Linked DNA regions of Mus musculus. The protein of the gene in region 1 purifies or fractionates together with the protein of each later gene. This does not show direct contact. Links are inferred from orthologs where the notes say so. Each region holds a gene or a part of one and is shown on either strand. Other genes may lie near its edges. The genes, in order: Asb1 and Cul5.

The links.
Region 2: the proteins of Asb1 (region 1) and Cul5 purify together in Homo sapiens (affinity purification with mass spectrometry; 6 studies listed by BioGRID and IntAct, counting the BioPlex papers as one, with this or other methods). This does not show direct contact. The link is inferred for Mus musculus from reciprocal best matches to the Homo sapiens genes ASB1 and CUL5.

Annotation. Positions count from the first base shown.
Region 1 is NC_000067.6:91,553,850-91,557,658, reverse strand, and holds part of Asb1 (ankyrin repeat and SOCS box protein 1), read right to left. Parts: intron 2,909-3,809; coding exon 2,781-2,908; 3' UTR 1-2,780. UniProt on the Homo sapiens protein: Probable substrate-recognition component of a SCF-like ECS (Elongin-Cullin-SOCS-box protein) E3 ligase complex which mediates the ubiquitination and subsequent proteasomal degradation of target proteins.
Region 2 is NC_000075.6:53,664,447-53,668,945, forward strand, and holds the start of Cul5 (cullin-5), read right to left. Parts: upstream 3,062-4,499; 5' UTR 2,616-3,061; coding exon 2,592-2,615; intron 1-2,591. UniProt on the Homo sapiens protein: Core component of multiple cullin-5-RING E3 ubiquitin-protein ligase complexes (ECS complexes, also named CRL5 complexes), which mediate the ubiquitination and subsequent proteasomal degradation of target proteins.

The DNA.
Region 1 (3,809 bases):
GCCACCCTTACCCTTTTGCTCGAATGGCTCTCTGTTGGTGCTGCACTGTGGGTCAAGATGATCCAACCGCCCCACAAGGTCAATCCCAAATCCAGACTGTGGGCTCTCAGCACTGTGACCACCGTAAGTGCACTTCCACTAGGAAGCAGTTTTCTCAGGACAGAGACCCCTCCCAAACAAAGTGTCTGCAGCCTCGGCACTTCACAGGACCTCAGCAGGGTCCCTGGAAAGGCACAGGAAGAGCTCTTCCTGTCTGCTGCAGAGCAGACACTGCTCCAGGAACTGGCTGAGCACAGGCCAGAGCAGCTCTCAGGCATGAAGAACTTCCCTCCGCTCTGGCCCACAGTCAGGACTTTATCTTTCAGGAAATTTTTATCTAAAAATTCATTCATGAAAGTGAAAAGGGGAAACTCTGAAATAATGGTCCTTAAGCCTGACATCAGTACTGGTCAATATTTGAAAAATGCCAATTATCTACTTTACCAATCTACTGTCAAAACAAAATAAGACTCTCCAGCTTAAGTCCTCTTATGGAAAAAGAATATGAATAAATAAATAAATACAAAAATATATAAACAAATAAATACATAAATACATAGATGATAAGTAGATAATAGATTAATAGATAGATAGATAGACAGACAGACAGACAGACAGATAGACATCACAAGTAAAATAGCTACAAAATGTATGGCATTGCCTTGGCAGGTTTCTGGACATATGTCTAAAAGCCCAATACTGAAAAGATAAATTCTGAGGGATCATCACTGGTTCCAACCTGCCTAGCCAAGATTCCACTACACAAGTCTTCACTTAAATCAAGTGGCTGCCCCAGTAACAGCAACAACCCCACAAATACCCCTTTGATGAGCTGGGACAACCCTCAGGCTCCTTCCTCTGGACCACTAAGCTCTTCTGCTAGGGCCAGTTCAGCCAGAAGGCAGTAGGTTCATCAGACACCCACATCCCCATGCTAGGAAGGACACAGGTAACCAGAGCTCAGAAGTCTGCTGAGTAGAGGGTCAGTCCTCACCGAAGTCACATCAACTTCCTATGGTACCTCTCATGAACCTGGGGTGCTTCTTACCCCGTACCTCATCCTTGACAGCAATGACATGCAGTGCCTTCATAGCATACTGGCGACAAGGGGAAGTGCCCTCAGTCCATGCCGATGCTGTGTCACATTCAGAGTTACCGGCTGGAAATTCTGAACATGCAGAACCTTGAAGTGATTGAAAGGTTCTGAAAACTGGTTTGAGACAGGGAAAGCTACTCAAGTCCAAGTGAAGAGCTGTGCTGGGGCCACACAGAACAGCTGTGGGGAGACAGGGACAGGCTCTGGCCAGCTCATTCCTGCCCCAGACACAGGACTCACTGTCCAGGACTGGGCAAGGCTCATCAAAACTCATGTAGTACATTTGGACCAGCTTGGTGTTGCTGCCTTGGGCCTTCCTGAGGCACTGGGGTGGGGTTTGGAACTCCATCCACAGAATCCCAAGGCTACCAACTGCCTGACTGGTCAGCTAAAACACAAAATGGTACACTAGGAAAGTATTAACAAGTTAAATCCCCTTTATGGCCAAAAGTCTAAACAGATTTATTACCTGCTTGTCCCAAATATTCTCAAGTCTATAATCAGCAAGGTCCACACAGTAATCCTAACAGGCTTCAGAATGACAAAAGGTGACTTCACTGAAACAGGAGCAACCTAAGGATGCTCAAGGCCGTGGTTATGGGCCCACCTGCTGTGACACTCACCACTCAAGAGTTAAACAAACCTGCAATCCTGCAATAAGCTCATCTCTCTCACCCACCAACAGCCCTGGGCAGGACAGGGAAAGACCTCTAGAAGCACCCACAAAGGCATTGGGTCAGAAAGTGGGAGGAACAGTCACCCAACACCTAGATATCCTGTCTAGTGGACACCAAGAAGTTGTAGCCTGGAACCACCCAGGTGACCAAGACATTTTCCACTTCCTGTATGGGAGTGTCTGAAGAGAGCACCCGTGTCATCTTCTCTTGTGAGGACTGGCAGTGAGTACTATTAAGATGGTCCCTGATCTGAATGTGGGCAGTCACTTAATGGTTAGTTCCAGGTGGGTCTCCTAAAGGTAACCACTGTCTGAAGATCCCCAGGGTAAGACATCAGAAAACCCTTGGCAGAGCAGATGGTGCCCTATGAACACTGTTCTGGGACCTCTGTGCAATAAGATAGAACCCCAGAAGCCATCTTAGACGGAAGACAACTCCCAAAATAGAACAGTGGCAGCAAAGAGAAGGGATGTGCACCAGGCAGCATAGACAGACAAACCCAGGCAAGAAAGCAGGCTAGCAAGTGCACGAACCGAATTCCTTCTCCCTATATCTTTTCTTAACAAACCTCTTTCTGTTTTGATATCAAGCCTTAAAAGAACAATAAATTGCAAAGTAGGAACATAAATAGATGCATAGCCTGGAGAAAAAAGCCTTCCCCACTAGGGCAATCACCAGGCTCAGCCCATGCTGCACACATTGCCAGGAAGAATCCAAAACAGAGAGACTGAAGAGGAACAAAATTAAGTTTGTATGTGCCTCTCAGTTGACAATGACTCAAGGAGCGTTCGATGGCCCAAGCACCTGAGATAGAATCACAGTCCAAGAGAACACAGCCGTTTCTTCTTCACTGACAGCCAAGGATCAAGCTGGCAGCACAGGCCATGGTTCCCAGGATGCCAGAGTCTGTGTCAGTTTTCACTGCAGGTGATCGGCTTCCACATTGCAGTCAGCACTGCATGTGAATGCTACTCATAAAGCAAAAACTTCTTTATGGGGTCTGGCAGCGGCAGCGAGGGAACCAGATGCAGTCGGTATTTGCCAAGAGCTCTTCTCACAGCCACCCGGCACAAACTCAGCAAGGTCCTGGGAATACCTGGGGAGTGTGAGGAGAAAGAGGAGGGAAAGGTTACTTCTCTCGTAACTCGGAAGGCCCAAAGCCAACCTTCCTCATCTGAGTCGAGGAGGCTCTGGGAGCTACTAGAAGGCTTGCTATCTGCATCTTAGCCAGGGCATCTGCTCATCTGTCAGCCACTCCTCCCTCTGCAATGCTTAGTGCCCTGGAAAAAGGCCACCCATGGAGGACCCACAGATGAGAACAAATGACCTTCGCTCTTGCTCTGTCCCAGCAGGTCACAGAGGCCTGGGGACACCAAGTGCACAGTACTTGAACTCAGAGATTAGGCTGCCGGTCTTCCTGCCTCGATGGAAACTACACAGCTAAACCCCTGCTTCAGGAAGGGAAGGTGACCAGAAGAAGCTTCCTTCTGTTCCTGGTTCCCACCCGGAGGCCATCAGCCAGCACCTTGGAGAAAAGCTAAACAGGAACATGTTTCTGAGACCTGGCTTGAGTATAGCTAACAAAAACACACTGCTACTAATGTTCTTTGAGAAATAGAGGACCAACGACAAACTATCAACTCATATGTCCTCTGACAAGATGGGAGAAGTGAGGGGTAGGCATCAGGCAGGCAATCAGACAGACACACAGGTTAATCTCTGCCTGTGAGACATGGCTGACAGCAAATCCAAGCACAGGTAAACTCCAAACTCTGTCGCCACTGACTTATTAATTCCTTAACAAAATCCTCCCATGCAAACAAGCTCCATATTTCATTTTGACAAAAACTAGATTTATCACATAACTCTACCCTTTGATATTTGAATGGAATTTTTTTTTAAAGATTTATTTATTTATTATATGGAAGTACATTGTAGCTGTCTTCAGACACTCCAGAAGAGGGAGTCAGATCTCATTACGGATGGTTGTGAGCCAC
Region 2 (4,499 bases), on another chromosome or scaffold:
AGGAGTGAAAACATTTGAACAATTGCTGTTTGGAGTAGAAGAACCAACTGAAACTGAAGAGAATGAGCACTCTGGGCTCAGATGACAACTACAAAAGAAAAAGAACAGGCAGAATTAAGTATCAAGTAATCCAAAGTAGGAGATGAAACGGGGCTGTGATGAAATGTTCTACAGCTAGACTGTGTAAGGAAAACAGGGATAGGTCCCACATGAAACGGAGTCAGAAGATTCAACCAGTTGCAAACTGTATTGTCAAATATGCACTACATACTCAAAAAATTGCCAAAATCCAATTGACAGTTCACTTGATCTAACCAGAAAACATGATCCCAAATAAAATAAAATGCCAATATAAAAGCAGATCTTATTGCATCAGATTCTTAGAAATTTCATAAAGTTTCTAATCTTATTTTCTCAAATGTACTAGTAGTTATTTCTCTGAATTCTGTCAACTATAAAAACAAAACAACCTAACCCCAAACAAATGAGACAAAACAAAAAAACCACCTTTCTGGAAGTCACAAGCAAGCTGAGATTTTCCCCCTGAAGGGGCTCGGGCTCATTATTCAGCATGTGTCAGGTACAGCTGGTAGATCTGGGACTGACTCACACTACTCTTGTCTGACCGATGGACATGCTAATTCTCTCTTTGGTAAAATCTACTTGCATAAGTCCAAGGCATTTCTCAAATAAGCCAATATACTAGTCCAACAAAAAATATGCTAATTTGGCCACTCCCCAGTAAGCTCTATAGCTACTCAAGGTAGTAACAGCCCTGAATTTAATAATCCCATATATTAAATCATAGACAGACCCTGGCTGGTCCTCACATATTCCAAAGACAAACTTCAGTCTCCCCATTTTATGATTAGTACTTTTCAAAATATGAGTATTTGGAATCCCTCTCCCCAAAAGTTCCAACAACTAAAATAGGTAAATGTTTGACAATGTAGAGATAACAGAATCAAATGTCTGTTTATTATGTCCTTCATATTACAACAGTACTAGCTATAGAAAATCAGACTATCAGCCAGGCCTTGTGGGGAACACCCAGAATCCTCTCTTAAGTTCAAGAGCAGCCTGGTCTACACAGTGAGTACCAAGATCAGGTAAAGCTACAAAGATCTTTTTGAAAATTCCTATTTCTGGCATCTGACTTCACTCAGTTGGTTACTGGTCTTTCCAGTATATTGTCATGAAGTTACAGTACTTCTTTTTCTCTCTTGCTTTGAGTCAGGCTCTAATGACAGCCCTGACTGGCCTGGATTCAGAGATCAGCCTGCCTCAGCTTCAAAAATGTTGGGACTAGGGCTGGTGAGATGGCTCAGTGGTTAAGAGCACTAACTGCTCTTCCTAGGTCCTGAGATCAAATCCCAGCAACCACATGGTGGCTCACAACCATCTGTACAGCTACAGTGTACTCATATACTTAAATAAATCTTAAAAAAAAAAAAAAAAGAGCGTTGGGACTAAAGGTATGTGCTACCATATTGGAATGCAGAGCTTTAAAAATCATCCTAGTTATCTTTACTCCTAGCTGGGTCAGGTAGGCCTTTTCATTCCCCTCAGCCTCAGTGTAGACAATGGATTTCTGTGACTTCAAGGCCAGCTAGGTTACACAGCAAGTTCTGGCAAGACGGGTCCAATGAGACCCTTTTTTAGGGGGGAGGGAGCATTATCTATTATTATCTATTATTATTATTATTAATTCACACAGCCTGCGAACATAGTGTTTATGTCCCCTCAGGTAATCACTAGTCCCATATTTCAGTTAGTAAGTTCAGGTCAGAATTCTTACTAAAAAACACAAACTCGCCTCAATTGTCTTCCTCAATCCTCATTTTTTTAGAGATGATTCTACATAACCTGCTCGCCCTGGGACTCTCCTGGCATTTACAACTTTTCAATGCTTTCTTTAAATGAAAACTTTTCTACACCCTAAAAGGATGGACAGCAGCACTTGATCGGGTGCCATCGATGTCCTATAAGGGAGGTCAGGATTGGGAGACAGTTCCTCAAGGGACAGAGAAAAGGTGGAAATAGACGGCCAGGCGTGAGAGAACTGGTGGGAAGGTGTGACATTCAGAGAAGGGAGGAAAGAGGTGAAGTGGCAGGCAGGCACTGCTGTCTAACTCACAGTTCCTGCAGAGTGCGAACAGAAATTAAGGAATGGGGTTGGGGGAGCATGGGGGGACCAGCCATTGAAACCTGCTAGGCAGCATTTTGCTGGGATTTTTTTCCCCTATTATGTCTTTGACACTCCATTCAGAAGGGACGGGCCCCAAGAGTCACAATGATGGGTTGGTGCGGCCCAGCGACACTGCTCTCGCTCCCAGCCGGGGTTGGTCCCTTGAAAGCATCGCTGCGAGTCGGTGAGCCGGCGGGAGGAACCCACCAGGTCCTCTGGACCCCCGAGGCCAGGGCCCGGCGTCGGGGTGCTCGGGCAACAGCCACCCCGGCTCATTCCGGTGGACAACCCCGAACCGCTCTCCTCATACACATCTTGCCGCTCCCACGGAGCCCGGTCCTTCCCCGGGAGCCGAGCGCATCGATGGCCGGGCAAAAGCCCGGCTGCAGCCGGGGGGACTTACCTTTAACAGATTAGACGTCGCCATGTTCTCAACTTGGACTCTCGCGAGACGGGGCGAGACTTGGCGGCGCTCGGGGCCAGGCCTCCTCGAGAGGCCGGGGTTCCCAGCAGGACCCCGCAGGCCGCGGCGGGGGATGCGGGGGACGCCGGAGCGGCGTGCCGTCAGCGCCGAGCTCGTCCCGGGCAGCCGTGCTTCCTCGGGCTTTCCAGCTACATGGTCACCCCGGCCTGCCCACGCGAGAGAGCGCATGCAAACGCTTGAGGAGACGCGAGCGGCGAATGGTGGGAAGGGACCGGGAGCCGACCAGACCGGGAAGAGGTAGTAGCCACTTCCTCGGGCCTCCCCAGCTCGCCTTCGCTTCTGCCGCTGGGCTTGCACCCGCTTGGGCCGCCGGCAACGACTTTATCTCGGCTTAGGGCCCGCACCTCAGGGTCCGTGGCGGCGTCACGTGACGCGGCGGGCGGGGGCGTGCTCGGGAGCAACCCAGGCGACAGCAAGCCACTGGGTCCCGAGGCCCGCGCGGAGGGTGCGAGCGCGCCCTCTGCTGGCTGGAGCCGGCGCAGCCCTCACGCGCTCGCCCCAGATCGGAATGGCTATTCAGAGCTCAGGATTAGATTAGCCTGGAAGGCTTCTTACTGCTGTCCTCAGGAAATGCTGACTGAGAGAAGGCGCCCAGTCAATTAATAAATGATGCACAAACGTACTGTTATTCCTATAAACAAAAAAAAAAACCCTGCTTGTTCAAGAAGTGATTGTTAATCTTGGGTTCCTTAAGACATATCCTAGAGCACCCTATAGTATTTTCTCCAAATTGCATCGCTTCTGATCACGAATCTCTGATCAAGGGAAGAGAATGTAATTTATACAGGGATCTCTCAGGTTAGCTGTTATTTAATGCATTATGCAAGTTCCTAATACTACCCTTTGGGGGTTTTAGTTGCTTGGTTGGTTGGTTGGATTGGTTTTTGACAGTTTCTCTATGTAGCCCTGGCTGTACTGAAACGCCATCTGTAGACCAGGCTGGTCTTGAACTCGGAGAGTGGAGGTAGGTGCCTCTGCCTCCCAAGTGTTGGGATTAAAGGTGTGGGAAACCACCACCTGGTATCAAATTTGTTTCTTTGAAACTCATCTCTCACTGTCCAACAATTTTAGTCTCAGTACTCAAAGCAGAGGCAAGAGGATCTCCGTAAGATTGGGGACAGCCTGGTCTACAGAGCAAGTTTCAGAACAGCTAGGTCAAAAAACCCAAGAAAACAAAAGTTTCTCAAACGTTGCTAGTGCATTCTTTATATTAATATAACCTGGGGTGCTACTTAGAAAAGCAGACTTTCAGGCTCCACTCTGAAGGATTTTATTTCATATATTATGCCTGAAAACTCCTTTTGCCCCAAGCATTCCAGGTAGCTATGTTTAAAGAAGACTTTCTATGTATTCTTGGATGGCCAGGAATTCTGTATGTAGACCAAGTTGACCTAGAACTCTAGAGTTCTGCCTGCCTCTGCCTCCAGAGTGACTGGTGGGATTATAGGTATACGCCTCCCTCGGAAAAGGCCAAGAGTTCTTTATATCTGCTTCGTGCTGGGTGTGGTGGAGCATGCCTTTAATCCTAGCACACTCTTAAGTTCCAGGCCAATTAGAGCTATAAAGTGAGACCCCTATCTAAACAATATAGCACTTAAAGTGAGTTAAGATTTGCTACTTTAGGACTGAAGAGATAGCTCAGTGGTTAAGAGCACTGACTGCTCTTCCATAGGTCCTCAGTTCAATTCCCAGCAACCACATGGTGGCTCACAACCATCTGTAATGGGATCCAATGCCCTCTTCTGGTGTGTCTGAAGACGGCTACAGCGTACCCATATGCATAAAATAAATAAATCTTAAAAAAAAAATCTGCTACTTCACAATGGG